Regions from separate parts of the Mus musculus genome. Here all the other regions are reported to be linked to region 4. Evidence: microRNA targets listed by miRTarBase, many of them from high-throughput screens and not tested one by one. Region 4 holds a microRNA gene; each other region holds the end of a gene's coding sequence.

Region 1 (5,074 bases), not on the chromosome of region 4:
TTTTGGCAACATTAAAAAGGATGAGACATAGAGCAGAGGTGGCCCTGGCCCGGTCATCAGGTGTGTGAGTAGGACGCTGGGTGGGTGGGTGGGGAATCGGGAGTCGGGGAGGGGCGGGGGAGGGGCTTGGTCTCTAAAATTCAGAATATCTGGCATTTCAAATGTAGGAAAGCTCAGCAAGTCAGCAGACCTGCCAAACATCAAAGCTCCCTGAGGAAAAGCTCAGCTTTCAGGTCTGGGAGAGTTCTTACTGGAATGTGACCTATCACTGCCTGACAGATCTGACATGGAATGTCTCCAAATGGCAGTGTCTCCCTCTCTGCCCTCCCTGGCTGGGAGTGCGCCCAGGAGGAGCAGCCACCTTCCGTGGAGGTGGGCGAGCCTCGGGCAGCCATCTTCGCCAGCTGCTGCTCCAACTTGGAAATGCACTCGTCTTGACTGCAGGTTGTTTCCTTTATGGATTTGATCTCTTTCAGAATCTCATCCACCTTGGCTTCGTTTTGCACACTGGCCATGTCTGTGGGCTTCTTGGGGGCACAGTTGAGATTGCTCTTCTTGTTTGCAGCCAGCTTGCCGTCCAGAATGTTCTTCTTGACCACCTTGAAATCCCCGTTCTTGCCTGGAATGTACCCGTGCTTCAACGATATGAGGATGGGGTCTGTCTGCATTCTTCCCCCTCAAACCACTCCTCGGCCTCAAGGGCAACTTCCGGCCCCGCTGTGTCAGGGTACAGGTCGTCTTGGAAGAGGTCAGACTTCCTGGGGACCGTCATGATAATGGGCTCGTACTATCTCTCATGAAGCTTGAAGAATCTGGCAATCTCACACTTGTTGACGTCAAGGCCCCGCTTGGGCATGTAGCCCATCCCTCACTGAGGCTCCTTGCCGCTGAATGTGTGGAGGTAGTGGACATATGGGAATTCATCCGCGGACACTGCTGTCACCCTTCCCACATAAGTAGATGATGCTGGTGTCTGGGTCGTAGAAGGAGAGCAGCACTCCATTGCTAGTGTCCATTTCATGGAGAGCATTGGTTTCTGCATGTTTTTTTGGGTTCCAGAGCGTCAACTGCCGCTCGCTCATGCGGCTAAAGCCAGTAGTGAATACGTTGCCGTCCGCCAGGAAGATGGCACGCATAGGCCTGGCTCCTTCGTGTGCTTTCTCCTTCTCCACCGCCATCTCCTGTTTCCTGGGGTCAATGACTCTCATTTTCTTGTCTTTGGATGCTGTGCAGATGAGACTACCGTTACAGCTCCAGCTCTCGTTGTAAATCATGTCTGAATGCATATCATCCAAGTTGATGAGGGCTTCCCCTGTCCCCACGTTCCAGATGATAATGACATTATCACAGCCTGCACTGAGAAGCACAATGTGGGCCGTCGGGTGCCAGGCCACGATGCCAACTCTTTTTGAGTGGCCTTCTAGAATCACCACAGGCTCAGTCAGGGAAAGGGTCAGTCCATTTTCTGGGATCTGCCAAACCATAACAATGCAGGCCTCTGAGCCGCTGGCGATAACCTGATCGTTATGTGGACACCAGTCTATGTCCAGCACTGGTCCTGTGTGGCCACACACTGTAGGGTAGGATTTGTCAATTTGTCCCGTCTTGTGCAGAGGGAGCATCAGGAAGGCCCCTCCCCTACTTGCTTCTATGATGATGGCCACGAATCTGGGGTTGATGGCGCAAAAGGAACTGTCCCAGGTGACTCGGGAGACGCGGATGTCATCATAGCACTGATCATTCTTCACCGCCTGTCCAAAGACATGCCGGAACTTGCTCTGCCGCACCACTCGCCGCATCGTGTCAGAGCCCGGGTGCCTGAGGCGCCACCGAAGTCCCTGCTGCAAAGCCCCGAGAAGCCTCCATCCATCCGCTGCCGCCTCCCGCCTGGCACTGAGTGCCGCGCGGGGGAGGGGCGCGGCAACCGCTGCCCAGTCCTTCGCGCAAGCGTGCAGGCCCTGCCCCCCTCAAATCTTTGAATTGGGTCAACAGACACTAACATTATCCAAATGTAATGGTTCTGAAATAAAACACTGTAAGATCAATCCACAGTTGCTATCTAAGTTTTGCTGTTACATATTTAAAATAGCTGTAAAGTTACTGGTCTATGGTGATAATTTATCTGACTTTTTTTTTTTTTTTTTGAGGCAGGCTCTAACTATGTAGGTTGGTCTCATAGTGCTAGGATTTAGGTGTGTGCTACAATGCCCAGCCGAGGGCATCGGGATGAGGGAGAAGAATTCAACCACTGGGCTTCCTGTTAGAGGACCAGTGGTGTTGAGCAGTGCCCAAAATGTTACTATTGATGTTCTGGGATGGAATCAGTTAAAGCAACAGTGTGGGCAGGGGAGGAGATGTTTCGGGAGTGAAGATGCTTGCCACAGAGCCTGATGATGTGAGTTAAGTACCCTAGACCCAGATGGTAGCAGACGAGAACAGGCGTGTCACTCAAGCTGTCCTCTGACCTCGACACATGATGGCATGTGTACATGCACACAGGCACATGTGTGAACATACATACAATAAATAATAAATGTATGTAATAATTTAAAAAGAAACACAGGCTTTAATGGGATGGCATGGCAGCTAGGCCTTCACCTTGGGCTCCTGATGTCAGCATTCGTATCCTTTGGAAGACACTTTCAGTCATACTTCAGTGAGTGTCTCTATTAAAACCATAGGGGCTGAGTGTGGTGTGTGCCTTCAATCTCAGTGCTACAGAGGCAGAAGGCAGAGGAAGCAGGAGGCAGAGGAGGCAGGAGAGGCAGAAGGCAGGCGGATCTCTTGAATTTTCAAGGGCAGCCTGGTCTACAAGTGAGTCCAGGACAGCCAGGGCTACACAGAGAAACCCTGTCTATAAATAAATAAATAAATAAAAAATAAAATAAATCTTTGTAGAGCTAGCTGTAACTCAGTTGGTAGAACACTTACTTAGCATGTATGACGCCCTGGGTTCTACCTACCTCCAGCACCACAGAACCCTTGGTGTTGTGGTACTTGACTTTAATTCTGCACTTGGGAGATGGATGCAGGAGGATCAGAAGTGAAGGTCAGGCTTAGCTTCAGAGCATGTTCAAGGTCGGTCCAAGATGTACAAGACCTTGTCCCCAAACAGCCTCTTTGTATAAAAGGATATCATTTTGTTGACACAACATTAGTTCTTATCTAAAGCAAACTCTCACCTCTCAAAAGCATCCCCAGAAAACATTTTCATGCTGCCCCAGAGGTGTAAGTTATTTGGTATAATTCCAACATCCCTGAACTCAAAGATTTTTGTGCTTGCTTAAAAAAAAATAGAGAGGATCAGCATTTCACCCCAAATATTCTCCACTCCTCCCCTCAATTACAGCACTGAGGAGCCCTTACATTGTCAAGGCTGTGCTTCCATTCAAGACACGTTTCCAGCACTCTAAAAGGACGAAGACTGTTTATTAAGTACAGTGTTTGAATCACATTTCAAATTACACAGAGAAAAGCCTCCATCACAAAGTGCTTCAGGCGTCAGAGATTTACCACACCAAACAAAATCACTTCTGCCATCAATGTGCTGGGGCAAGATCTAATTAACACGAGTCTCATATGCCCATGACGCTAGCAGGCAGTGGCTCTGCAGATTTTTCTCAAATTATCACTGCGGGATAGTTCCCAGTGCCCATAGAGGAAGAAGAAAGAGGGGGAGAGAGGGAGAGAAAGAGAGGGAGAGAGAGAGAACACACTAGTCCAGCTTAGCCTCAAAATTACTAGGTAGCTAAGCTGCAGATTGCATTGAACTTCCTGCCTCCACTTCTCAGGATTTGGAGTTCTGGCACACACTATCATCCTGGCAGCCTTTGCCTTATAAGGAAAGAGCTCAACTTTGTTTCTTGTTCAAATCTTGGAACTGGTAATAAGCTATCTACTCTACCTTTGGGGGAGCTCACAGCTGAAGGTGATGGACAACTTCCCTTTTCTCCTAAAATCCCCATGAAGACCCCTTTCTTGTCTTTGTGCACTTTACCAGTTACCCACTTGTAAGGAGAACATACATACATAAGACACAGCTCACAGTTTTTGTTGTTGTTGACGACATCTAACATCATATCTAAGAGCAAGTGGTTTGGAGCCAGAACTGAATTCAACTGTCCCAGTGAATACAACTCTAAAGAAACCATACTGAATGCTCTGGGTCTGTCTTCTCATCTCCCAAGTGGACGGATAATAGGAATTAACATCGCTGTGTGTTAAGAAGCAAACAGGCTAAGATCTGCAAATTTCTTAACACGGGAACAGGCATTCACCGAATGACAAATTTAATTATTAGTCTTTTAAAACTGCCTTAGTAACTGCTTTTGCCATTCAGTTACCATTACTTCTGTCTGGATGGATGGGTGAGACCAATTCACTCCCAATGACACCAAGATTTCTGACTCCTGGCTTCAGGATCCCCATCACCCTCCGTTGCCCTCCATCACTTTAAAGACTTTTATAGAATGGGATGCAGTATCCAGCACAAGAAGAGAATTCTCCTTGGTGAAGGCCAGTGCCACAGGACGGGAGAGGCCGTGAGTGATTATAGGCTTCAGGGCTGGGAATTCTTCGGGTTTCCCCAAGCAGACGATGGCTGGACCAGAGGTGTCAGCAACAATCACGTTTCCTTGGTGATCGAAGGTCACAGCAGAGGCAGTTACTTTGGAGGGGAAGAGGAGGTTCAGCCCGAAGCTATCCACCTGGCCAATCAGCTGCATAGTGGAGTTGAACACCTTCACCCTTGTGTTGTTACAGCCAGTCCTCCCAAAGGCACAAGGATGCTCTAGGACCGCGATGGCCCCCGTGAGCCATGACACTGCCAACCCACGGGGACTGCATAGGTGAGCTTGCAACCTCTCAATCCTCCGAAGGACCCCTTCAGGGAAATCCGCTTCCAGCAGGTGCAAAGTCCCTGCCTCTGCATCAGTCACCAGGACCCCATTGTGAGGGGTGATCTCCACACCCCAAGGCAGGGAAAACTGCTTTCCCACAACCAGCTTGATCTGGCCAAAGAAATCAAACACTTTGAGGGAGCAGTCGCCAGCGTCGGTGACAACCACATGGCAGT
Region 2 (5,074 bases), not on the chromosome of region 4:
TGTTGATGGTGAAAATGAGAACTGAGCACAGGGAAGAGTGGCATGATGGGTAGGTAAAGAGGAGTCAAAGGCCACGAGAGCATACAACACTCAAGTGAACCACAGGAACACTCTAAAAGGCAACTCTGCTGTCCAGTCTTGGATCTGAGGAGGAATCAGATAATAAGAACCATGCAGGGAACAAAGCTAGCCTCGCACCTGCTGGCTTTCCCGTCTGTTGGCAGGAGAGAAAGGTTCTGGTAGTGGTGTCATTCAAGACTGAGAGCTGGAGGTACATTGCAGCAGAGCACTTGATTCACATGCACAAGGCCCTGGATTCAACTCTCAGAGGCATAAATATATAAAAAAAATTAAGTAGATTTAAAACTAACTGCTAAAAAGTAATTTTAAAACCCAAAATGCTCAGCATGCTATAACTAGGAGACTCTCAAAACCAACTAACCAACAACAAAACACCTAATCATGATAAATGAAACAAAGGAGAGAGAGAGAGAGAGAAACATAAAGGTACTGCTTATATGAAGTAAACAGAGAAGATGACTCTAAGGGGATAGAGACTAGAAGATGGCCCATTGCTACGGGTAGGAAGGGGGTTAACTACTCTATGCCTCAATGTTCTCACTTCACAGTGATCGTTATAGTATCCAACAAGGCTCCCAAATACAAAGATCAAGGGACATGATACAGTTAAAGTTTGGGACACTGTGCTGTACTCAAGATCACCTCAATATGTACATATACTAAATTTGGGAATAATAAATCTGGGAAATAAACTGATTTCCAGGTTTAAAAGTCATTAAAATAAATAAACCTAGAAATAATATAAAGATCCAGCAACAAACTATACTTTATCCTGAATTCAATCTTTATTTAAAGCAAATAATTTTGAAAAATTAAGCCCATGGCTTAAAACACTTAGAACTTTACACACATGAAGTATAAGAAGAAAGGGAAATGTTTTAACTAATTTTTCCCTCAATATTTGAGTTCATCTGAGTAAGAGATGAAAAAAAGCTATGTCTCCTCACTTTGAATTTACTTGAGTTGGCATTTTGGTGTATAATTCTATAATTCCATGTTTCTAAACATAAAAGTCCTTTACTAAAAAGTAGTAACTTCTCATTGTAAATAGGAAGATAATTCTCACTCGAAAATCCCTGACCAACAAATGTTCCAAGTCAGTAATTCTAGGGTCAGAAGCACTTATGTCACTATTCTCTCAGGCACCTGTCCATGCCATCCTGTCATCACTGTCAGATGCTATGGCACCAGAAGACACGGAGAGAGATGGAAGGCTTTGGGGTTGGTCATTTCCCAGAGGGCGTCAGATGGTGGTATGGATCCTGCCTCCTGAACTCAATCCTTTCAGTGCAGGCGTGCTAGTCAAACAGCTGCCCCATCACTCCTCCAGGCAAATTAGTGGTTGTTTAATCTTTTGAAATAATTACTTATGTGAGTACAACCTATGTATCTTTGGTTAAACAATTTTCTCGCCAGCATCAACATTTGCATTCTCTTATTTATCATCTCTCAGGCCTTTTACAGAATTACTTCAGCCTTAATTACTCTCTGATTCTTTTTAAGTATTTCCAGAAAAAGGTTCTAACATTAGGAGAGAGTACACACAAATTTCAATATTTAATAAATTTATCTTGATAACATCAAAACAAGTTTACACTTTAAATTGCATTATAAAAAATACATCGGTCTTCACATTAGTTTTACATGGAAATATATAATTATTTGAATATTTAAATATAGCTTTTCTTTAAGCAAAACAAAACAAAACAAAACAAAACGTGTTACTCAGAGCCCTAGTTACATAAATAATTTAAAATGCACAAATGCAAAAAAACCACTCTTTACACAATATTGTCCACACACTGTTTCACCAGGACAATCACAATAAAAATCTATTCAAGATACTAAAAGGGACAAGATTAATGAAATGATATGGTTGTAATTTGATGTATTACTATTGAAAGAATATAATGCACTCTTGACTACACAAAATAACCAATTGTTTCAACCTAGCCTGAAAATTAAATCAACATTTATGTAGACAAAGGGGCACATCTTATATCCTATCAAATTCTAAAATAATTCACTTTTAACTTAAGTTTTACCATTTTAAGTAAGTTTCCAATCTTGTCTAAAATAATAATCCTTACAAGAAGTTAGTAAATATTTGCAAAATGCTAAACAAAGCCATAATTTCTGTACCAGACATTTTTATATTTTTGGTGATGTTAATTTTACATTTTAATTTTTTCCTTGCTTTCCCTTTAAAAGGTCCTTAGACAAGTTTCCAAATTATGAATTTTTTAACTTTAAATTTTGATTATTTGAATATTCATTGCGGGACATAATCACAATAGATATAATCTGGCATAATTACATGGTAGGTTATTTAGGTATGAACTCTCACTTTTAACCTCCATTACAAGAGTGTTTATTAATGGTGTCTGGGAGCTGCAAAAGACATTAATACCTACAAAGAATACTTTTTCATGTTTACTTCATAATCAGTGAAAGAGTTTTCTTCCTTAATTAAATTTTGAGGATTTAAAAAAAAACTAGCAGCCCATTAAGAATGTTTTAAAGAAATTAAAATGTTTGTAAGATAAAGAGGCAAGGTTGAAAAAATTAAACACGTTACTTGCCGACTAAAAAAGCACATTTGTCCACTCTGCAATATAATTACCACTTATATTTAGAAGTAAAGAGATGACTATAGTATCACCATTAACGACTCACAGGTTAAATAATGGCCCCTGGAACAAAACCACGTTGATATTTCATTAATTCTAAGGTAACACAGTTTTATCTCTGAAATCAAGACACATCTTAACACTGACTCTAGTTTCAATAAAATATAGTAGTTACACAGTAAAGGGAAACTTCGTGTTTCCTCATAACATCAATGACAGAAAAAGATCCAGGTCTTGACTGAACAAGAAAAGGGGATGCATCTGCACCAGCTCAGTCAATGACCCTCAAAGGAATAGACTCAAGTACCACAGAGGTTCACACTGTGTATCCAAGCTCTTTATCTCAACTGTTAAACTCAATTAGGTAGTTTAAGACAAAATGTCAAATTGGCTTAACCTTTAACTATCTAGCTAGTTTAATATAATTAGATAGTTTAAGATAAACTGATGTATAAACTGTTTTTCACTTGAAAAGTAGGTCTCTAGTTAGGTTACTAGTTTAACTTAATTTTTCTGAAATGTCAAGTTTTTCACTAATGACAATTAATGGCCAGTCCACATGCCATTATCAAACCAACAGCTTAAGCTCATCATTTTAAAAATGTTATCCAAAATATTAGTAAATAAGATGATAAAATTACCTGGATTTTCATTTTAGATTACTAATAAAGGGAGAAAAGGTACCTTCAAAGCTTATTCACATTTGCAAAATCTTTTCCACGTAAGACTTAATAATGTTAACAAAAAGATCTGTGGGTATGTGTGCAAATGAGAAAAGCTACAGAACTGCAGATCCAATTTAAATGAAAAAGAATTTGTCTTTCACCAGGTGCTTAAAAAAACTGGATTAAATATTTTATGGAATGACTTTAAAAGAAAAAGAAGTTATATATTTTTGTGATCGTTTGATCACAAAACTGAGATACTTGAAAACCGAGATAGCACAATGTCGCTCTTTTTATTTATCCAGTTAGAATACCTACTGGCTATTCAACTTGGAAGTGTGGTAACTAAGTAAATAGATATCGGTCCCAATTGTTTAAAAGATGAAATTAATAAGCTTGCTATGTTCATTCTCCCAGTGTTATAACTTTTTGGCACGAAAGATTTTCAGAGGACATGATTTAAGGAACAGAATTCTATATAGTATGCTAAATTATGAGACAAATTAAGATGAAGCTCTTCTACATAAATGGGACAAAGGTTGCTTTTAAATCTTTAAAAGAAAAAAAAAGGACCCTAAACACTAATTTTAAATGAATATAAAATCTCCGAAAAATAATATCTGTAGCAAAATAGTGTAAGGTCAGTTTCCCCACCAAAGCTGGGAAAAGTATGTGCATTCAAGTCTCAAATGTGTTCCATCCAAGTGAAGGACTGAGGTCTCCATCCGCTACGACGCGACGCGCACTTTTATTTTGCCTCATTGCTTTTCGACTTGCTTGCAAGCCGTGTCACCATCCTGTCGGTATTTGTTGTGGAACTCAAGCTTCTCAGGTCATATTCTCTCACTGGAAGAAGTCTCTTCCTTCTCCGGAAGTAAGTTTTCCTGTAGCGCTTTATTCCTCCAGCATTGGAAAGATGAGCAGGCAGCTCTGCAGGTCCTGCAGTAGTGCTCAACTGCTCTTCAGCACCAGCTGGGAGAACCGGGGCGCACGGGGGGCACGGGGCGCACAGGGGGAGCGGGGGGCACGAAACCCGCGGGAGGCACAGGGCCCGCGGGGGGCACGGAGCCTGCGGGAGGCACGGGGCGCGTGGGAGGCACGGGGCGCGCGGGGGGCACGGAGCGCGCGGGGGGCACGGAGCCCGCGGGAGGCACGGGGCCCGCGGAGGGCACGGGGCCCGCGGAGGGCACGGGGCCCGCGGGGCTCGCGGGGGGCACGGGGCACGAGGGGGGCACAGGGCCCGCGGGGGGCACGGGGCGCGCGGGGAGCACAGAGCCCGTGGGGGGCAGGGGGCGCGCAGGGCCCGCGGGGGGCACGGGGCGCGAGGGGTGCACAGGGCCCGCGGGGGGCACGGAGCGCGAGGGGTGCACAGGGCCCGCGGGGGGCACGGGGCGCGAGGGGTGCACAGGGCCCGCGGGGGGCACGGGGCGCGAGGGGGGCACAGGGCCCGCGGGGGGCACGGGGCGCGAGGGGGGCACAGGGCCCGCGGGGGGCACGGGGCCCGCGGGGGACACGAGGGGCGCGAGAGCTTGAGCGCTAGTGCTTCAGCTGCTCTCTTGGCTTCCTTTATCTTCCTGGCAACTATTTTCTTCTTCCTCAGTTGCATTCTTATAAGAACAGTCTTTGATAGATGCCTCCGGGGCATAAGACCATGGCATCTAGAGACATACTTCCTGATGATGTCGGTCGCTTTCAGCT
Region 3 (5,074 bases), not on the chromosome of region 4:
TTCTTCGGAACATTGGAAAGTTCTGGAAGAGTAGGGGGATCCACGCCAAGCGCTTGTCTACAGGACTCTTTTTGGTGAGTGCAGCCTTGGGCCTCTGTGAGGAGGTGTCCATCTATGGCTTCTGGCCCTTCTCGGTGAACATGCAAGGGGACCCTATCAGTCACCACTACTATGACAACGTCTTGCCCTTCTCAGGCTACCATGCCATGCCTGAGGAATTCCTTCAGCTTTGGTATCTTCACAAAATCGGCGCGCTGAGGATGCAGCTGGACCCGTGTGAGGAGCCGTCACCACAGCCCACTTCCTAGGGACTGCAGAAGAAGAAAGGACGGGATGGGGGATATTTTTGCTAGGTTTTTTTTTTTTTAATGTGACTTCTAAAAAGAACTGCCAAAGTGTGTCATGGATTGGCATGATAGGAAACAAACAAAACCTAAGCAAAACTGCTTTTGATGTTGGCTTGGAGAACAACAAGAAATAAAGTGTCCCGGGGAATGTTTTTATAGTGTTGTGGATTTGCAAGCGGGACAACCCCAAGGAGACGATGATGGCAGAGCACATGTCTGTGATTCAAATCAAGAAGATGTGATTCGAGGACCAGATGAACTCTTGTTGCTGAGGCCGAGGGGCCCATCATGGCAGCCTGTGGGAGATGCTGGGATATTGCTGACTGTCAATATACACTGGCATCATAATCATTTTAAAGATCCGTCTTATTGAGACTGGCATTAGAACTATAGGTTTAAAAAAAATTATTGTTGATTTTTGCCCTGTTCAGGGCTATGGGTGGGTAATGGTATAGACTTACAAAACCCTTCCTGCTGATTATTGTGATTTGTTAAAACAAGTCTTTGATGACTATAGTCCCCTCCACTAGTACGGTTTTAAATAAGAATCACTTCTTACCTCCTTTTGGTTAAGTCTACTTAGCATGAAGCTCTGTTGAGTTTAGACTGTGTTGATCTATTGTCTAGATCACACGAGCCATTTCTTCACATCAGAAGTTGAGAGGGAAACTAAATTTTAGGTCCCCATTACATCAACCCATTGGCTCTGTTATTTTCATAGAATCACTAGACCTGCAAGTACACTGTTTACTTATAAAGTAGCAGAAGCGCCCTCATCATTTAATGAGAGGTGACGTAGCTCACAGAGAGTGAGAGCTTCATCTTTAAGATAGACAAAGGCAGGGCCTTTTCCTCTCTAACATGAATATTTCCTTCCACGATAACTCATGCGTGTATACGCATATGTATACATGCATGGATTATCTTGTATACATATATATGTACATATATATGTATACACACATGAATATAGACACATACACTTTGACACTCTCTACACTTTCTACAAAGTAATCAAAGATTATTCTCATGAAACCATCAGTACTGAGTGTGCATGGCCTAGAGTCTGTAACCAGTATTGGAGAGCCACATGTAGTGTGGGCTCCATTCCATGTTGACACAGTCAGGCTGGCATGGCAGTTGCTGTCAGCTTGCCTGTCAGCACAGGGTGCAAGGCTGACCCTCAAATACATAAATCAGAATGTGAACCCCTCTCTTACTCATAGTGCCTCCCTGCACCCCAAAATTTCATGAATGGGCCCTGTGTTGAGCCTAGTGACATGTGATGTGGCTCTTTCAAGGAAGCAGGTAGGAACCACCAGCCGTTTAAGTCCTTAATGCCGAGTGGGTGGGGCCGTTTAAGCAGCTTGGTACATCAGCTTTGACATAGCTCGGGAGCTTTCCTGGCAGATTCTGGCCCAGTGTGCTTACTGTAGGTAAGGGGGTGAGAAGGGGGTTCTCTTATGACCTTTGTGCTGTGAGATGTGCTAAGCTCTGAGGAGATGTACGAACCCATTTTATTTTTTCAACTGTCGTCATGATAGAGGTGAAAACGACTCACAAGTTCTGCCTCATCTTGGAGGTAGAAACTCGGTGTATCGACCATGTCTATGAAAAGCAGGGGGCTTTAAAAGGAAGGTTAACTTACAAGACAAGCAAGCCCCTGAGATGTACCCTTGGGGTGGGGGATTTCCAAAAGTGATCCAATATTCAGGCTACTCTATGGATAGCATTTGAACTGAGGAAACTGGGCGGCCTGATGGTCCGCTCGCTGCTGTGCAGAGCTGGCTTAGTGTTTCCGTTTGTGTGACAGCATCAGGATATCTAGAAGGCAGCATGAGCTGTGTTATTCGTATCTGCGCAACCCTGACTACAATCTCGTTTTGAGCTACTGGTATTTAACCATTATCTAAGGAAGAAGACATGTTCATCAGTAGACTTCATCAGAAGTGTAAAAGGGCTAAGAAAACATCACATACAAAGATTTCATTAAAGATGTGTTCAGATGAATACATTAATTGGTCAAAATCTAAGCAAGAAGCTCATAACAGACCACTGTGCACTGAGAGAACTGTCTGGGAGCTTTAGCTCTCCATCTGGTTCCTAGAACAGGTCCGTGTGTTTAGTCTGTGCAGTTTTAAAGCCACTCTCTATGGGATTTGAATGTCAGAACAGATCTGGCCAACACTGTCTGTCCTTTTTACCCGAGCAGACTGCCCTTCCCTCAGGTGCCATCAGGACCCCGAGGACACTTTCAATTGTTATGACCAAGAGTGCTCACACTTGTAGTAGGGAGTGACCATGAATGCTGGTCCAGTAACCACAGGTCAGCCCCTTGCCACAGAGAATGACTCAGTAAAGTGTTAGTTGTGTGAAGGCTGAGGAACCCCAGGCTAGACCAAAAGGAAAGCTTGACTGCTCCTGTGCTCTGTCCTTTAGGCCACAGGTATAACGCTGATGTCATGAACAGGATCTCTGTGGCCTTTCGTTATTTTATAGTGACAATTCACTGGTATGTCGTATGTAACTTTATGTGAGTCTGGTTAAATGATGTAGCTAAACAAGTGTGTGTGTGTGTGTGTGTGTGTGTGTGTGTGTGTGTGTGTGTGTGTGTCTATGTGCATGTATGTGTCTATGTGTGTATAGCTGTGTGCATCTGTTTAGCATTATTTTTAGTAAAATATGTGTTCCTAAGTAGAAGCCTCTCCAGAATCATCCTTTAGAACATTCTAGAGTAGCACCTTACTCTTAAGAGATTGGGTATTATTCAATCCTGCTTATTGAGATTTAGGCCTTCAGCTTTGGGCCTAGTCCACTATTTAATGTATTTGACCTTTAACTTTCAGCTCAGAAGGGATTTGGGTTATGATAGAAATGTTTAATAGGAACATTAATTAATTTCATTGTGTCTGGCAAGAGATGACACCCCACTCTACCACCAATTAGATCAGTGCTTTAAGTGTGTGTATGTGTGTGTGCACATGCATGTGGAAAATAAAATTGCTTCATGGAGGAAGGAGAGAGAATGCAGAGACTGCTAATGAATACTCAAACAGGAATTCTCTTTTTGAGTCAACCGCGACTTAAGAATTTGTTGATTCTCAAGCTCCCAAGTGAGGGCGGCTGCTGCTTGATTTTAATCACACTTCAGTAAAAATTAAGCTAGGTGAAGAGCGAGTCATCCCAGCAGAAGGAAAGCTTTTACATGAGAGAGCTTTTCTCAGAAGATGACTCTTAGTGCTTTGCCAAAGTATATTTTTAAAAAATTGTGTGCCTAAACCAGATTGTTCACGTTTATGACTTTGAAAAAGGAGGGGGCACGGGAGACTCTCACCCTTGAGGCCTGAATGCCCTTGCAGGGTCCTGAGTTCAGGTTCTGATGCACACTTACCCACACACAGCTAACTGTTACTCCAGGTCCAGGACAGCTGGTGTCCTCCTCTGGTCTCCATGGACACTGAATGCAAGCAAGAACATACACATAATAAATAAATGAATGAATAAATAAATAAATCTTAATAAAGGTAGAGAGTTAATTCTCTAAAATGGCAGATGTTCAGGTAGTGTCCTTTGTGCTTCTTCGCTGGGAAGCCAGACATCTATAGTTTTATTTTTTTCATGTTTGAAAATACCAAGTTCATAGACTCTTCCACTGGCAAATCATTGTCAGGAAAGATCTAATGAGAAAATCAGTCACGAGTCCACTGAATGGTTTTTACCTTATAAAATACAGTGCTGTGGTATAGATGCTTCCCCAATGGTTTTTACCTTATGAAATACAGTGTTGTGGTATAGACGCTTCCCCGCCAGAACCAGGTAAGATTACTTCTCATCAAAAAGCCCAGAGATCAAGGGCTGTAAAGCTTTGTCTGAACTCTCAAGGGCAAGTCTGCAGTAACAAAGACTGAGGATGCTGTTGTGTGTTTTTTCCTGCCCAGAGTAGTCAGAAATGTGAGCTCCAGGCAGCCCACATCAGGGGTGGAAGCAAATTAACAATGTTTGACACCTGCAGCCCAGGTTGATGTGGCTAATCGGGTCAGCAGTAAATCCTCTTAGAAGTTTTGGAAACTTGATTCTGTTGTATGCTCAGGAGAGGAAGAGGCAAGGTGACAAGGGAGGTGACCATAGTTCCCAAGCTCTCAGCATCCACGGGGACAGAGGGGTCTATACCTTTGTTCTTGATGACCCTCTTGTCCAACAGAGGAGCTGGCTTCCACTGAGGGCTGAGCTAGAAGCCCCCACTGCCACTTATCTCTGCCCTATCACAGTTGTTGTCTTCCACTGGGGGCTGAGCTAGTAGCCTTGCAACGACAGGAGCCTCAGCATGAAAATTTGCCAATAATTTAAAATTTTGAATCACCAAACATATTTTGCTTTGATTTTTTTTTTGCCTAGGATTGCACTTGCTAATCTTGTGGCAGAGTCTGGTCACTGTGGCCCAGGTGTGACCCTGCATACGATCATACGCAGAGTTCTTTTCTCTGTCTATATGGGTGGACTTCCAGAGTCCCTGAATCTATGGAGATAACAAATACCTCACAGTTCCTGTGCTGTGTCTTTGAAAGTCTGGAATTCCGAAGTCCAGAATATGTCTATAAACTCCTAAATGTGAGGCCACAAGATTTAGTCTCAGCCCTATACAACTCCTGTTGTGTAAGTGGGAGAGTCTTATATCTGTACATCACACACACACACACACACACACACACACACACACACACACGAAT
Region 4 (5,074 bases):
AAGACAGAATTCCATTTACTGGCCCACAAAACTTTATCTCATGACTTGAAGAAATATAGCCAAAGCAGCCAGTAATAATGTTGCAGATGATAATAGCTAGTGCTTTTACCCCTCTGGAACACTGAGGGGGCTGAGACTATGATGTTAACCCTTACTTCTCCATGCTGTCTCAGAGAACAAAGGCCAACTTGATCAAAGCTCAGAGCATGGCATATGACTTCATGAATCCATATTTGCTTTGTTTTAATCTATATGTGTATTATACGCCTGCATATATGTCTATGTGCCATATGTGTGCCTGATGTACTTGTAGGCCAAAAAAGGTGTAGGATCCCTGGAATGGAAGTTGCAGGTGATTACAAGCCTCTCTATGGGTGCTGGGAATCAAACCCAGATCCTCTGGAAGAGCAGCCAGTGTTTTTAACTGCTGAGGCAAATGTCCACAACTTCCGTTATTTATTTATTTATTTATTTATTTTGGATTTTTCGAGACAGGGTTCCTCTCTGTAGCCCTGGCTGTCCTGGAACTCACTCTGTAGACCAGGCTGGCCTTGAACTCAGAAGAAATCCACCTGCCTCTGCCTCCCGAGTGCTGGGATTAAAGGCGTGCGCCACCACCGCCCCGCAAACATTCTCCTTTAACCTATCCTCCATCCCTTTTGGGCCTGAGGGAATGAACTCAGGATTGCCTTGTGGATTGTATAGCTTATGCATGCGCTCTGTTATCTCTGAACTGTACCAGCAGCACTCTCGTCTCTATTTTTTTTTCTAGTAAAAATTTGTGAGTCGGGCTGGCGAGATGGCTCAGCAGGTAAGAGCTCTGACTGCTCTTCCAGAGGTCCTGAGTTCAAATCCCAGCAACCACATGGTGGCTCACAACCACCCATAATAAGATCTGACTCCCTCTTCTAGAGAGTCTGAAGACAGCTACATTGTACTTACATATAATAAATAAGTAAAAAAAAATTTGTGAGTCTTCCTTGACTTCTGCCTCCTCCACAGGAAAGCCTGGGCAATGGTCATTGAAATAACTGTACTCATGGAGTCAAAACTCCAGTTCTAGGAATTTCTTCTAAAGATATTATTTTATAAGCCAGCAAGATGTTTCAGTGGGTTAAGAAAATTCTTGACTTAGCCAGGAGAGAAACCCTGTCTCGAAAAAACAAAAACAACAACAAAAACAAAACAAACAAAAAAAACAAAGAAAATTCTTGACTCATACCTGAGTACAATCCTTTGAACCCTCATAAAATGGAGTAAGAACCAAATCCCCTATGTTGTCCTCTCACTTCTACATACAAACTGTGGCACAGGGGTGTGTGCCTCTACCTCCCCCCAACACACACAATAATGATAATAAATATATATTTTTTTAATTTAAAGTTCACTTTACAAAGGAATACAGACTCTCCTTTTTTAAAAAAAATAAGGTCTTATTCTGGAACTCAATGTGTAGCCCAGTCTGGTCTCAAATTCTAAGCAGTCCTCCAGTGTTAGCCTCCCAAGTGACAGATGTATGCCACTATACCCTGCTTTCAGAATTCTTTCAAAAAGTTAGAAACTACTAAAATGACTCTGGAAACAGGTCTGGTTTAGTAAGTTATGGTAAGTTAGTGCTCATTTAATATAGCCATTAGAGCTGGAAAGTTGTTCATGACCTTGAGTGAGAAAAGAAAGTCGGCTTTCATGCTTGTCATCCCAGCAGTCAGGAGGAGCAAGAGTTTAGGGTTATCCTCCAATAGAGGATGTAAGGCTAGTCTTTGCTATAGGAGACTGTTTTTAAAACAAAAACTTAGGACTGGAGAGTTGGTCAGTGGTTCAGAACACTGGGTTCTCTTTCAGAGGATTCAGATTTGATTCCCAACACCCACATGGCTGCTTACAACAATTCATAAGTTCTAGTCTCAGGCTCTGACACCCTGTTCTGACCTCTGTAGTTACTAGCCACACATGTTGTGCACAGGCATAGATGTTGGCAAAACACCCATACACATAAAAACCTACAAAAAAGAAAGAAAATATTTTTTTAAAAAGATTTATTTATTTTTTTATTATATGTAATAAGTACACTGTAGCTGTCTTCAGACACACCAGAAGAGGGAGTCAGATCTCGTTACAGATGGTTGTGAGCCACCATGTGGTTGCCGGGATTTGAACTCAGGACCTTCAGAAGAGCAGTCGGGTGCTCTTACCTGTTGAGCCATCTCACCAGCCCAGAAAATATTTTTAAAAAGTGAATTGTCTTAAGCTGGAGAGATGGCTCAGCAGTTAAGAGCACTGACTGCTCTTCCAGAGGTCCTGAGTTCAATTCTCAGCAACCACATGGTGGCTCACAGCCATCTGTAGTGGGATCCGATGTACTCTTCTACTGTGTGTCTGAAGACAGCTATAGTGTACTCAGATAAAAAAAAGAAATAACTTTTTTTTTAAAGTGAATTGCCTTATGTATCAAACAAGATATTTTTTAAAAAGTGGTAGCTATCACAATGTATGGACTGCCTGCCTTCCTACGTATGGCAAATCTTACCTGCTGGATTCTCTAAAGGCATAGAACTAACAGAATAGGGCTGAAGAGATGGCTCAGTGGTTAAGAACACTGACTGCTCTTCCGGAGGTCCTGAGTTCAAATCCCAGCAACCACATGGCTGGCTTACAACCAGTGTACTCCAATACGTTAAATAAATAAACCTTTAAAAAAACTGACAGAGCTGGGCGTGGTAGCGCACGCCTTTAGTCCCAGCACTTGGGAGGCAGAGGCAGGCAGATTTCTTCTGAGTTCGAGGCCAGCCTGGTCTACAAAGTGAGTTCCAGGACAGCCAGGGCTACACAGAGAAACCCTGTCTCAAAAACACCAAGGAAAAAAAAACTGACAGAGTAAATATGCATATTGAAAGTAGATGTATTAGCCTGGTTCAGATAGTTCAACAACTGTCTGAGTGTAAAGCTTGAAAATCTAGTAGTTATTTACTCCACAAGGCTGGATGTCTCTGCAATCCCTGTCTGGTGCTACAGTCCCAGAAGATTCCTGGATAGCTGCTAGTCTCAGTCTACATGGGAATCCTAAAGCAGTTTTATTTAATACCAGCTGCAGCAACAGAATAGATGAATTTGCCGTAGAGAGTAAGGACAAACAGGCAAAAAGAAGGTTTTTCTTGTGTCTTTATATGTGGGCTGCCAGTTTTAGGGTGGGTCTTTCTGCTTCAAATAGTCTGATTCATAAAATTGCTCACCGAAGTGCCTGCCAGCTTGGGTGTTAGTTGATTCCAGATGTTGTCATGTTGACAACCAAGATTTTTCATCACTAGCAGGGACACCACATATATTAGACATAGGGACCCAAGGGAGTGTTACATTGAACCATAAATTATCTGTAACTAGTAGGATTCTGTGTTGTATTGTGTTGTTTTACTTTGTTGAGGCTGGCCTTGAGCTCATTCTATAGTAGAGGCTGCTGGCCCTAAATTTCTAATCCTCCTTCCAGGTACAGAGATTACAGACATCAATACTATACCCAGATCTTCAATTCCATGCTTTTCTGAATGTTTTGCAGAGGTTCATGTTGCTGGTGATGGCTTTCTTTTTTTTGTTGCTTTGTTTCTGGTATTTATTTATTTATTTTCATTTTTGGTTTTTCGAGACAGGGTTTCTCTGTGTAGCCCTGGCTGTCCTGGAACTCACTCTGTAGACCAGGCTGGCCTCAAACTCAGAAATCCGTCTGCCTCTGCCTCCCAAGTGCTGGGATTAAAGGCGTGCGCCACCACTGCCTGGCCTGGTTTTTAATTTTTATTTTCCGTGTAGGGATGTTTTGCCTGCATGTCTGGATGCAATGCCTGAGGAAGCTGGAAGAAGTTGTCGGATCACCTAGAACTGCAGTTACAGACATTGGGAATTGCCCTGGGGGTGATTTTAGTGGGACCTGGGTCCTCCAGAAGAGCATCCAGTGCTCCTTAACCATTGAGCGATCACTTCAGCCCATATCCTCGCTTTCATTCCAAAGACCCTAGGGATTAAATTCAGATCATCAGGCATGGTGACAAACACCTTTACCCACTGAGTGATCTCACCAGCTTAGGTTTTGTCTTTTTGAGACAGTCTCATGTAACCCAGGCTGACTTCCAAACCTCTGTACAGACGATGCTGACTTTGAAGTCCTAATCCCCCTGGCCTCTACTGCCCAAGTGGTGGGACTACAGGCATGTTCCACACTGTGTTTTGGCCTTGAGTTAGAATGTTTCTAAACCTAAAGGTGTTTATATGATTATTACATGTTTATATGATTTTTAACTATGTTGTTTCAATCAACTGAGTGAACTGTCTGGCTTCCTGGGAGCCTCTGTCCAGGTGAGTGTTAGAAAAAAACATGAAAGGATGGATTGTTCTCCTATCTCATTTAAGTGGGCCAGTCAGTGACAGCTCAGTGGACTTTGTGACTGAAGACTGTTAAAATTCAGTATATCGATCCATGATACTTTGTCATAAAATGCAATTAAGACACCCCCTTTAATGGTTTTTGCCTCCATTTCTCATCACAGGACAAGAGGAATTTCCTCCGTGACCCACCAGCTGGTGTGCAGTTTAACTTTGACTTTGATCAGATGTACCCTGTTGCCCTGGTCATGCTCCAAGAGGATGAGCTACTAAGCAAGATGAGATTTGCCCTTGTTCCTAAACTGTAAGCACCATGTTTTCTAAAGAAACACTGCTCACTCCTGCAGTGGTAATTTCTATTTCACAGTAGTATAGTGATTTCACTTTCCTAAGGGCTCTAGTTATATGCATAATGTTAGGGAAGAGTCACTGAATGAAGGCCAGAACCCTCCCTACACTATCTGTTCATCCAAACAGGCCCTGCAGCCCTTCAGAGGCCCTGTGAGCTTGACTGCGTGCCCAGAATGGAAGGAGAGGGCAGACTTGGCAGGAAAGTCAGGTTGATATGTGCTCTTTTGCCCAGTTAAACAGTAGAACATGTTTCCATCAGAAACAACAAATAGACCCAAATCAAATCGGGTTTGTAAAGGCTTGCCTTTTCCCTGAACTCCCATGGCTTGTATTCATGCTCTGCGACAGCTGTGCT
Region 5 (5,074 bases), not on the chromosome of region 4:
GAAGTGATCCCAGGGGTGACAGTAATTTGGGCTTGGTGAACCCCCTTGCCTCAGGTCCCTACAAAAGCACTGACAAATACCTGGGCAGTAGTCAGGGACACCTTTCACTCCAGCAGTCCAGCAGGCAGAGGCAGGCAGATCTCTTGAGTTTGAGGCCAGCCTGGTCTACAGAGTGAGTTCTGAGATAGCCATAGCTACACAGAGAGACCCTGTCTCTTAAATTGAGCTGTGTAACAGAGGATGCTGAGACCCCACTGGTGGCCAGGGTGATCAGCATGGTATTATTGTCCTCTCACACCCTATCCATGCTGGGCTTTATCAGGCCCTTAAAGCACCTTCCTGTGCCTCTGCCCTTCTGTCCTAGGGGTTCCTTGGAGATGGCTCTACTCTGACCCGTGTCCCTGTGTTTCAGATGAAGCCCGCTCCAAGAAGTGTGGTGTCTTGGTGCACTGCCTAGCAGGCATCAGCCGTTCAGTGACAGTTACTGTAGCCTACCTGATGCAGAAGATGAACCTGTCCCTCAACGACGCCTATGACTTCGTCAAGAGGAAAAAGTCTAACATCTCGCCCAACTTCAACTTCATGGGGCAGCTGCTGGACTTTGAGCGGACGCTGGGGCTCAGCAGCCCATGCGACAACCACGCACCCAGTGAGCAGCTCTACTTCTCCACGCCCACCAACCATAACCTGTTCCCGATCAACACGCTCGAGTCCACGTGAGGCCTGGGGCACTGATGGGCGCAGCACCAGGGTCTCCCAGCCCTCCACGGGGCCTGGTGGGGGCCCTAGCCTGCTGCCCCTCTGGCCTGAAGAACCCACAGATGTCACCTGTGTCCAGAGAACCAGGCTGAGCAGTGGCTGAGCTCCCATGCCATCCTGTGCAGGGTCCTGTGGCAGCACTTGCCAGATGGCCTCAGCTCTCCAGACATGTTGCTAAGCGAGCGTTGGCCTCAGCTTTCAGACTTGCGGCTTGGGGGCTGGTGGGGCCTTGCCTCTGCCCCAGGACATCCATTCGGCTGATAGCCCAGCCATTCTGGCTATTTTTAAAGACATATCCACAGACCTGAGGTTGCTACTTTTGGCAGGTAAATCCGAGCTCGCTGGAGCAGAGTTCAAGCTCTTCTTGGTTTGTTTTTTTCTTTTCTTGTCTTTTCTTTTCTTTTCTTTTCTTTTCTTTTCTTTCTTTCTCTTTTTTTTTTTAACAAAGTGTTATTTTTCAGGCTAAATGCAACAATGGATTGTATAAACCAATATTTCACCCCCTTTCCTAAGACAGAGAGAGAGAGAGAGTGTTCTCAGTTTCTTGTTTCAAAAAGCAAACCATCGATGTATTTTGTTTTCAATGGAAAAGACAAACCCCATGTTCTTGACCAAATGCATTTTGCACGTGTGTGAAGTCTGATTTCCCAGCAGGCCATTCTGGAAGGGTGGGTTGTCACTCTCTGGGCATCAGGACCCTGGTTCTACCATTTCCTACCTGTGACCCAGCCCACCTCAGTGCCGCCTTGGCACAGTCCCGTCGCTAGGAGCTGCGCCTGGTGGGCACTGGTGGTCTTTGTGTTGTCTGCCCTCCTACCAACCTTCTGAGAGTCCTGCAGACCTCCCTGCCAGGTCCTACTGGAGGTGGTGCTGCAGGGGAGTGGCAAGCAGTAGCATTAGCCATCTGGGCTCCGCCCCTGAGAGGGCTGCGCCCTGGCCCTTTCATAAACTGCCCACCACTTCTGTCCTCATCTCTGTCTCTGAACTGGGAATAGAGGCCCACAGTGCCTGTGTAAAGCCTTCCCAGTCCCTTAGCTTTGCTGTAGACTCCAACGAGGTTCACCCCCAGCCCCCTTGTCCAGGTGCACACCTGCCCTGGCCCATGTTGCCCGTGCCTTTAACCTGCAGGCAACCTACACCTATTGCGGCCCAAGAGCTGGGGCAGGTGGGGCAAGGACTGGCTAGTGGGGGGTAAGAGGCCCCCATCCCAGGATCCATAGCACAAAGCCACGGGCTCCATAATACTCCTCCGGTTTCATCGCTTCTCAGCCTTGCTTCTCCCTAGGCACCATGAGGAACAGGAAGTGCTGGGGTCCTGATGGGACGCACACCCGCAGGGGGCAGTGACTGAGGCCACATCTTACCTCACAGGGCTGGTTTTCAGGGATTCTTTAGGGAAGCAGTTTAAAATCTTGCCACAGTTGAGAAATTGGCAAAAAAAAAAACCAAAAACAAAAAACAAAACTTCCATTCTGTACATGGCATGTTTCTCTCTCTCTCTCTCCCTCCCTCCCTTACCCCCCCCCTTCTCATTTTTTAAAAGAAAACCCAGAAACATGGATCAGAGTGTAAATGAGGGTATACCAGAGGGTGGCCAGTTTTGCTTTAAGATCTTATGAAGGAAAGTTTGTGACCCTACATACATACATATATATATAGACACACACACACACATATATATCCCGAGCCAGCAACGGGACGTTGTTTATATTGCAAATAAATATTATTTTTTCTTTAAATGGAGTCCTGGTGTTCAATAAGGGCCTGGGAAGACGAGGCAGGGGCAGTGTTGTCTGTTTCTGAGAGAGTGGGCTGCCTCTTTCCTAGCGTCGGCCAGGAGCTGCTCAGATATAGGAGGTGGCAGCAAGGGCTCCTGGATGAAAGTGAATCCACGCTGGGGCAGAGACGCACACCTCTAGTGCTAGCACACAGGCAGAGGCAGGTCTCTGCAGTTGAGGCCAGCCTGCTCTACAGATCGGGTTCCAGCACAGCCAGGGCTACCCAGAAAAACCCTGTTTTGAAAAATACAAAGTAGAGCCAAGCTCACTGAGACATTGACCTCCTCTTGGGTTTGGCATGGTGAGCAAGCACCTGTTTTTTCTGCTGCATGCTGAGGGCAGGTGGAAGCAGTGTCTTTGGGCCTCCAGTGGGGCTCCCACTCTTTTTTTTTTTTTTTTTTTTTTTTTTTTTTCCATTTTTTATTAGGTATTTCGCTCATTTACATTTGCAATGCTATACCAAAAGTCCCCCATAGCCACCCACCCCCTCTCCCCTACCCACCCACTCCCCTTTTATGGCCCTGGCGTTCCCCTGTACTGGGGCATATAAAGTTTGCGTGTCCAATGGGCCTCTCTTTCCAGTGATGGCCGACTAGGCCATCTTTTGATGCATATGCAGCTAGAGTCAAGAGCTCCGGGGTACTGGTTAGTTCATAATGTTGTTCCACCTATAGGGTTGCAGATCCCTTTAGCTTCTTTGGTACTTTCTCTAGCTCCTTCATTGGGGGCCATGTGATCCATCCAATAGCCGACTGTGAGCATCCACTTCTATGTTTGCTAGGCCCAGGCATACTCTGACAAGAGACGGGGCTCCCACTCTTAACAGGCTAGAGCTGCCAGCAAAAAAGTGGCTCTGGGGGCTGGAGAGATGGCTCAGTGGGTGGGAACACTGACTGCTCTTCCTAGAGGTCCTGAGTTCAAATCCCAGCACCCACATGGTGGCTTACAACCATCTGTAGTGGGATCTAATGCCCTTTTCTGGTGTCTGAAGATAGCTACAGTGTGCTCACATATATAAAATATAAATATTAAATTTTTTTTTTTTTTTGGTTTTTCAAGACAGGGTTTCTCTGTAGCCCTGGCTGTCCTGGAACTCACTTTGTAGACAAGGCTGTCCTCGAACTCAGAAATCTGCCTGCCTCTGCCTCCCAAATGCTGGGATTAAAGGCGTGCACCACCACGCCCAGCAAAAAAAATTTTTTTTTTAAAAAAGTGGATCCAGAGAGGAGGGACCACAGCAGGGAACAGCCCCCCTGTTGGACTGCTTCAGAAAGCTTCATCTCCTTTGCCTGCATCAGGTGGACTCAGGTGCAAGGTGGGTAAGCAGGCCCAACCTCTTCCAGGCCTTGGGCCTCTGTCCTCCTGCCTCTTCTCTGACGCTGTCTCGTTGGTGCCCCTCTGTCACAGAGCACCAGAACAGTCACCACCCTCACAGCTTGGCTTATGACAGAGAGACCAGGCTCTGCCACCCGCCAGCGGCTCAATGCTGGGACTGGCAAGCCTGAATTCAGTGCTCAGGACTCCCGAGTAAAGGACCTCCCGTCCCTGCAGGCCAGGGGCCAGGGAAGTGGGGTTCTCGCAATGCTGGCAAAGAGACGGTTGCTACTTTTACTGTCAGGGTTCCTCAGGGCCCTGGTCCTTCTGTGCCAGGGGCAGGCAGGGGTGGGTGTCTGAGAAGGCAGAGACTGCCCCTTTGTTCCCCTCAGTGCCCTTGCCTGAGGCTAGGGAAGCCCGCGGGCGCCTGGCTGGGGGCTGGGCCCTTAACAGGCAGAGTAAGTGCCTGGCAGTGCCAGTGCGCCCAAGGACATTATGGGGGTGGGAACAGCAGTGACTTCCTGAGCAGACTCCTCAAGCTGAGGACTGAGGGCTTGAGAGTGCATGAAGAGGGCCAACCCCACCCTTGCCAACCATGAAATCTTAAGCCCAGTGGTCTGTCTCGGACCCACAGTACCCTTGTTCTTTGGAAATTCTGCCCTCACGTGCTGCTTGCTAAGGCTGGGGGGCAGTGGTCCCGATTATGGCTGAAACCATCCCTGGTCAGAAACCTTCGGCCAGGCCATGCAGCTCTAGCTCCTAGACTTCATCCTTGTAGACTCTCACGTTGTCTTTCTACCCCGGCACAGCTAAGTCCCATCAATGGGTTCTGAACATTTCAAACCCAACCTCAGCTGGGCCCCCAGACACCAGTCCCCCTGAACTTTGGGTGAACACTTACACTTGGGCCATTCTACCTTGTCACTCAGTTTCCTGACCCTCTCTTAGCCCTGCAAGGTCCCCATTTCTGCCTTTTCAGACTCTTCTCCAGGAACCCAAAGAGTTCCACTTCTTTGTCGCTTTTTAGCGTTCTCAGGGGAGAAGGATCTAAGCCACTTACTCACAGGCACATTCATGCGCCAGCCATTTCCTGTGCTGGCTGGGCAGTCCCAGGAATGGGAACATGCCCCAGGGAAAGTTCTGTGATGTCAGCCTGGGTGGTAGGATAATGGGGCCCTCAACTTGTCTTCTGATAAATGAATCAGATTGCAACAGCAAGAGTG
Region 6 (5,066 bases), not on the chromosome of region 4:
AGTAACTACCTGGGGACTCACAACCATCTGTATCTGGGATCTGATGCCCTCTTCTGGCTTGCAGGTGTACATGCAGATAGAGCAACTCATACATTTAATTTTTTTTTTTTTCTTCTACAGGACATCATCTCCCTGGCCTCAGTACCTCAGCACTGCAGAGACTGGACCTTCTCTTTGTAGATTGCATGATGATCTTTCCTAAAATTTTTGAAAGTTTTTATTTGGTAATTTTCATGGTGTTCAGCCAAGGATATGCATTCAGTGGACAACTAAATGCCATTAAATGCTTATGCAATCTACTTCAGCACCAACTAAGCTTACACCAAGAATCTTAGGCAGACTGATGTTCTCTTTTGGTTCTGGAAGTGTTGTAGTCCCAGGAATGTCTGGGCTGTAAAGAAAATGGCCACTGGGCACAGCCATTCTTAACAGGCTAGACCCTTGAATACCCACAGATGAAAATGTTAAAGCAACAACAACAACAACAACAACAACAACAACAACAACAACAAATCTCTGGAGAGAGACTTGCTTCCATGGCCAGGATGTCACACACAATGTTGAAATAGCTAGGTGCCTCTGGTACTCCTCCCCACCTCTGCCCCTGCCTCCACCCAGTATTTGTCTCTGTAGCTGTCCCAGAACTTGCTTCATAGACCGGGCTGACCTCAAACTCACTGAGATCCACCTGCCTGAGTGCTGGGTTCAAAGGTGTGAGCCACCACTGCCTGATTGCCTCTGATACCTTATCATCTCCTGTCTCCATACTATATCCATCCCTTGGGTGTGTGACCAGAACTGACCTTGAAGGCCCTGCCAGACCCAAGGCTGTTCTTAGGAGGCAGCAGCCCTTTAGAAGGATTAACCACGCAGGAGGAAGCCATTCTGAAAGTGACTCTGAGGGAGTTCAGGGCTCTTTTCCTCTCTCAACCTTGGACAAAGCTGAAGAGAAAGCTGCTCGCCATTCACCACATAGAGGCTGGATGGCCACAAGCTCAGAGATCCTTTCTCGGCAATGCCACACAGACCGGGTATGTGGCTCGGCCTGCGGTTTCCTGCGCCTTTCCTGTCTCTGAGTTCTACTGCTTTAGAACGGGGCAGCCACAGGGATGAAGAACTATGGGTTGAGGTAAATTCTCTTTGGCTAAGTGTCACATTAAGAGTCTTGGGATTAGTCATAGAAGTGAGGGGTGTAAGTCTCTCACATGAGTCTCAGGGTTTGTCATAAAAGTGAGGGTGTAATTTTATTTCAGCACCAAATCAGCATGGTTGGTTGTCTTGTTGTTTTTTAACAAACAGCTCGTCAGAGAAGCAACAGTTGCTGAGGACAGTGGACACTGTGTTTAGAAAGTTGATAAAGGCTATTTGAACCGCTATTACTTATGGAATAAGAACATCCCTGGCTGTCTCCTTAGGTAACTTGGCTAAAGTCTGTTTTTCTTTTGGGGAAAACCTGAGGTAATCTTATCCTTTTTCTCCTGTCACAGTCAGGAGAGCACTTGTAAGGATTCTGGAACATTTCTTGGGCTGTGCTGCCCGGCTGGTGGCCACTAGGCACATGTGGCTACGGAAAGCTTGAACTGTGGCTAGTAATAATGATGATGTGCTGGGCGTGTAAAAGACAGCAGATTTAGAATAGGTAACAAAGAATAGAGGAAAATGTTTTCCTGACACCCTACATCATTTGCACATCAAAACAATAATAATATTAGATTAAACTGCTATTAAATAATTTCCACCTGTTTCCTTTTTGCTTCTTAAAATGTGGCTATCGGGAGTTAGAAAAAAAAATGCATGTGACTTGGGCTGTATTTCTGTTGGACAGAGTTGGTGCACCACTTGCTCCAGAAAAATGCATGCCTGTAAATGCATAGTCAGTGGGCACTCCTGGGCTGCATAGCCACGTGTGGCTCACTGGGTCCTCAGGTCAGGGCCTCCTCATCACGGAAGGCAGCAGCAATGTCTATAGTAAGAGCTTTGCCAGTTATCTCAAGAGGAAAAACTTTCTTTTAATCTTTCTTTTGCCATGAAGGTCACAGGGAAGCCCTTCAAAACTCTTTGGTAAGCAGAGACTGTCAAAGGCTCAGGGAGTTTGCCACAGGGTCTCCTTGGAGTCAGATCAACAGGCTAAGGGTGGGCCTCTTGGGCTCCTTAGCATCCTGTAGGGTATTAGGTCAAGGACTTGCTTATATAATCAGCGTTTACCTGGCCACTGGCCAGAAAACACCTACCAGATCTTTTTCTGTCTGGTCATGCAATGTAATTTTGTATTTCTCTTGTTGTTGAATTACCCCAATGTCATTAGACTAAATATTAAAATTTCCTTTGTGACTCAGTTGTTTTCACAACACAGATCCCCCCTGGAGAAGTGCAGATGTGTCACCTGAGACAGAGGGGACAGTGAGACTCATCTTCGAAACTTCATTGGAGAGAGTCTGGTTTAGCACTCACCTGCTTCCTCGCTACGAAGCATCTCAGGCCTTGGAGGCGGGCATTAATTATGGGATGTGCTAGACCTTTGACAGAGGTGATTTTTCTGAAGCTTGTTATCATTTTCCTTGCCTTGCTCTCTACCATCGAATAGGAATGCATTAAAAGTAGAAAGAAAGGAAGGAAGGAAGGAAGGGAGGGAGGGAGGGAGGGAGGGAGGGAGGGAGGGAGGAAGGAAGGAAGGAAGGAAGGAAAAGGAGCAGTGGAGAATTCCATCGCCCTGGACTCAAAATTCCAGTGGGCAGCATGGATTTACAGCTCACGAATGTTTGAAAGATATTAGTGTAATGAGGTGGAAAAGCTCAAATCAAATACATAAATACAGCTCAGTGGGAAGAGCTTGCTTTCCTGATAATCCCTGCTCTGTATGACCTTGCCAACTGCTAGGGAGGAGGAGGAGGAGGAGGAGGAGGAGGAAGAGATCCTTCTGATTGTCCAGAGGGACACAGGTGGCCACCTATGTCTCTGGAATTGCTGCATGTATCACAATACTGTCTACTCAAAAGACAGCACACTTTTGTTATTGTTTCAGACAAAAAGAGAATAAAATCGTAAACCACTTTATAGTACGGTGGGTTTTGATAGTCATTTGTTATTTTCCTTGTAATCTTATTTGATTCTAACTCTCAGAGGAGACTCAATTTAGCAATTTCCCATGATGCACATTTTGATTCAGACTTTATCAGATCATACCTCGTTCTCCTCTTGATACCCAAATGCTCTCAGAAGACCCGAGAAACTGTTAAGGACTTATTTAGATCTTTCCATGTAGGCTGGTGAGGGTTAACAGGAGAGTTCCTGAAATAAGCTTACACCTGGATGCCAGTGACCTAAAAACTGATTTCATCTTTTCTATACCTCGTACCCGTGGAATTCATTTATGAAGGTGATAAACTGCTAAGGCTTTGGAGGAAATCAGGGAGTCAGGCATCTTCCTGGGAAGACAGGGTATCAGGTTTTGTTTTGTTTGTTTGTTTTTTAAACTAGGCTTATAGTTCCACATACTCTGAACTTTGTCATGGTGTCCTTTGGGGAATTCTGAGTTTTAGACTAAGGCCCTCCAGTCAGAGGACCTGCATTCCTCCCTGACAGTTCTCTCCTGCTAAGATGGCCCCTGACAGAGCGTGGCAAGTGGAAGCCTATGTAGTGGAGTGGAAAATAGCCAGCAAGCAGCTCAGCAGATCCAGAACTTAGTGTGGCTGTCTGGCAGCTGGGCTCGCCAAGGCCCACCTATTGGAGGGGTTTAGACACTTGGTAAAATCTGCCTTTCCACTGTTTCAGGGTGCCGAGGCAATCCTCAAAGTCATACACACGTCATATTGATAACTCGCGACTATGAATCTCAAGACGTGGTATAAACCAATCACAGGGCCAGCAACCAGAACTTCTAAGCAGACCTCTGTACATGGGCTGGAGTGGATCAAAGGGAAAACGGAGGGAATCAATCGATGTAAACTACACATCAACTTTAAAAAGAAGTCGCCAAGGGAATGAAACCATTTTTCCCAAACAAGAGCAAGAAGATGGGAGAGGCTGAAGTCAAGTGAAGAAACTGTGGAGTTCTCCTTCCAGTCTGCTGCACGTCTACACAGACACCAAGAAATTCAGCTTTCAACTTCCACATCAAGGCCACAGGCTGTTGTTGCAGAGATGGGAACCCGCATCCTGACTCGGGAGACTTTGGATATTGCTTTCGTTACCACCCTTGAACAGAGTGCCCTGGGGTTGCCATGGTGATCTGAAGGTCGTGTATCCAGTTCAGTCCTTGGAGCATGCTTCCCTCCTGTCCCCCTGGTTCCTATGTCTTCTCTTGTCCATTTCTACCATCTCAAGATTTCACCTCCTCGCAGTCTTGGTCAGTGGAAAGTTCTACATCAGACAGGCCCACTTCCAGTGCCATAATTAATGAGATGTCAGAGTCACTGCTCAGTGCTGGCTCTTGACCACCTGAAGGGGGACAAAGCAAAGTTTATGGTCAACGTCAAGCTATGTCTTTGGATGCTTCCGTTTTGGAATTATTGTTCCTAGTAGTGTTTCTCTTTTTAAGATCTAGGTTTTGTTTTGTTTTTTTTTAATTAAGCATATAATATTGATTGTCACATGAGTTTGCATATGTGTATGTGCACACAAGTGCAGGTGCCTGGTGGGGGGGCATTGGCTCCCCTGGAGTGATAAGTGGTTGTGAGCTGCCCAGTTCAGATGCTGGGAACTGAACTTCTGGCCTCTGGAAGAGCAGTATGCAGTTTAAAACACTCTCCATCCCATCTACTAGCACTTCTTTTTTAAAAAAGTGCTACCCTTCCCAGCATCCAGAGATCATTATTCTACTCCACTCTTCCATTAGAGTTATAAACTTTTCACCTAATAATTTTATTTCCAGAAGTCTTACAAAAAATTGGCTGTTCTGTAAAAACTCTAATTCAAATCTCACCTCAAAATAGAGCCCCAGATAAATTCTAAGTGGGTCAGAAATTTAAATGTGAGCCATTGTGGTAGGAAACTAATAGAGGCTGGCTATGGTGGTGAACGCTTGTAAAGTCAGCACCGCGGAGGTGGAGGCGGGAAGACTGAGTCTG

Evidence for each region. The annotated mature microRNA mmu-miR-3473a reads UGGAGAGAUGGCUCAGCA and lies in region 4 at 2,250-2,267, shown strand. An mRNA with a match to its seed (bases 2 to 7 or 8) in the 3' UTR can be bound and repressed. Matches are read on the target gene's strand: a 7mer-m8 pairs with bases 2 to 8, a 7mer-A1 pairs with bases 2 to 7 and ends in A, and an 8mer does both.
Region 1: miRTarBase lists Nhlrc1 as a target of mmu-miR-3473a. Seed matches in the 3' UTR shown: 7mer-m8 at 3,698-3,704, 7mer-m8 at 3,684-3,690 and 7mer-m8 at 3,676-3,682.
Region 2: miRTarBase lists Zdbf2 as a target of mmu-miR-3473a. Seed matches in the 3' UTR shown: 7mer-m8 at 1,612-1,618, 7mer-m8 at 1,280-1,286, 7mer-m8 at 480-486 and 7mer-m8 at 224-230.
Region 3: miRTarBase lists St8sia1 as a target of mmu-miR-3473a. Seed matches in the 3' UTR shown: 7mer-A1 at 2,436-2,442 and 7mer-A1 at 3,050-3,056.
Region 5: the mRNA of Dusp7 is a reported target of mmu-miR-3473a. Seed matches in the 3' UTR shown: 7mer-A1 at 918-924 and 7mer-m8 at 2,258-2,264.
Region 6: miRTarBase lists Rnf150 as a target of mmu-miR-3473a. Seed matches in the 3' UTR shown: 8mer at 2,426-2,433 and 8mer at 518-525.

What each region holds. Positions count from the first base shown.
Region 1 is chr13:47,009,147-47,014,220 of GRCm38, forward strand. It overlaps Nhlrc1 (NHL repeat containing 1), which reads right to left. Exons shown (of 1, transcript NM_175340.4): 1 at 3,411-5,074. The coding sequence ends at 4,428. It also overlaps the pseudogene Gm5790. Among named protein-coding and RNA genes, the nearest start is that of Nhlrc1, 3.2 kb to the right of the region's middle.
Region 2 is chr1:63,308,996-63,314,069 of GRCm38, reverse strand. Zdbf2 (zinc finger, DBF-type containing 2) reads right to left here. Exons shown (of 7, transcript NM_028673.1): 7 at 1-5,074. The coding sequence ends at 4,125. Among named protein-coding and RNA genes, the nearest start is that of Gm23448, 11 kb to the right of the region's middle.
Region 3 is chr6:142,824,018-142,829,091 of GRCm38, reverse strand. St8sia1 (ST8 alpha-N-acetyl-neuraminide alpha-2,8-sialyltransferase 1) reads left to right here. Exons shown (of 5, transcript NM_011374.2): 5 at 1-5,074. The coding sequence ends at 308. Gm7457 (predicted gene 7457) reads right to left here. Exons shown (of 7, transcript NR_045707.1): 5 at 3,739-3,804. Among named protein-coding and RNA genes, the nearest start is that of Gm7457, 12 kb to the right of the region's middle.
Region 4 is chrX:162,872,113-162,877,186 of GRCm38, reverse strand. Mir3473a (microRNA 3473a) reads left to right here and starts at 2,192; the gene lies at 2,192-2,269. It overlaps Syap1 (synapse associated protein 1), which reads left to right. Exons shown (of 9, transcript NM_025932.2): 5 at 4,533-4,672.
Region 5 is chr9:106,373,227-106,378,300 of GRCm38, forward strand. Dusp7 (dual specificity phosphatase 7) reads left to right here. Exons shown (of 3, transcript NM_153459.4): 3 at 413-2,498. The coding sequence ends at 720. Among named protein-coding and RNA genes, the nearest start is that of Dusp7, 7.1 kb to the left of the region's middle.
Region 6 is chr8:83,082,807-83,087,872 of GRCm38, reverse strand. Rnf150 (ring finger protein 150) reads right to left here. Exons shown (of 7, transcript NM_177378.4): 7 at 1-4,437. The coding sequence ends at 4,319. Among named protein-coding and RNA genes, the nearest start is that of Tbc1d9, 80 kb to the left of the region's middle.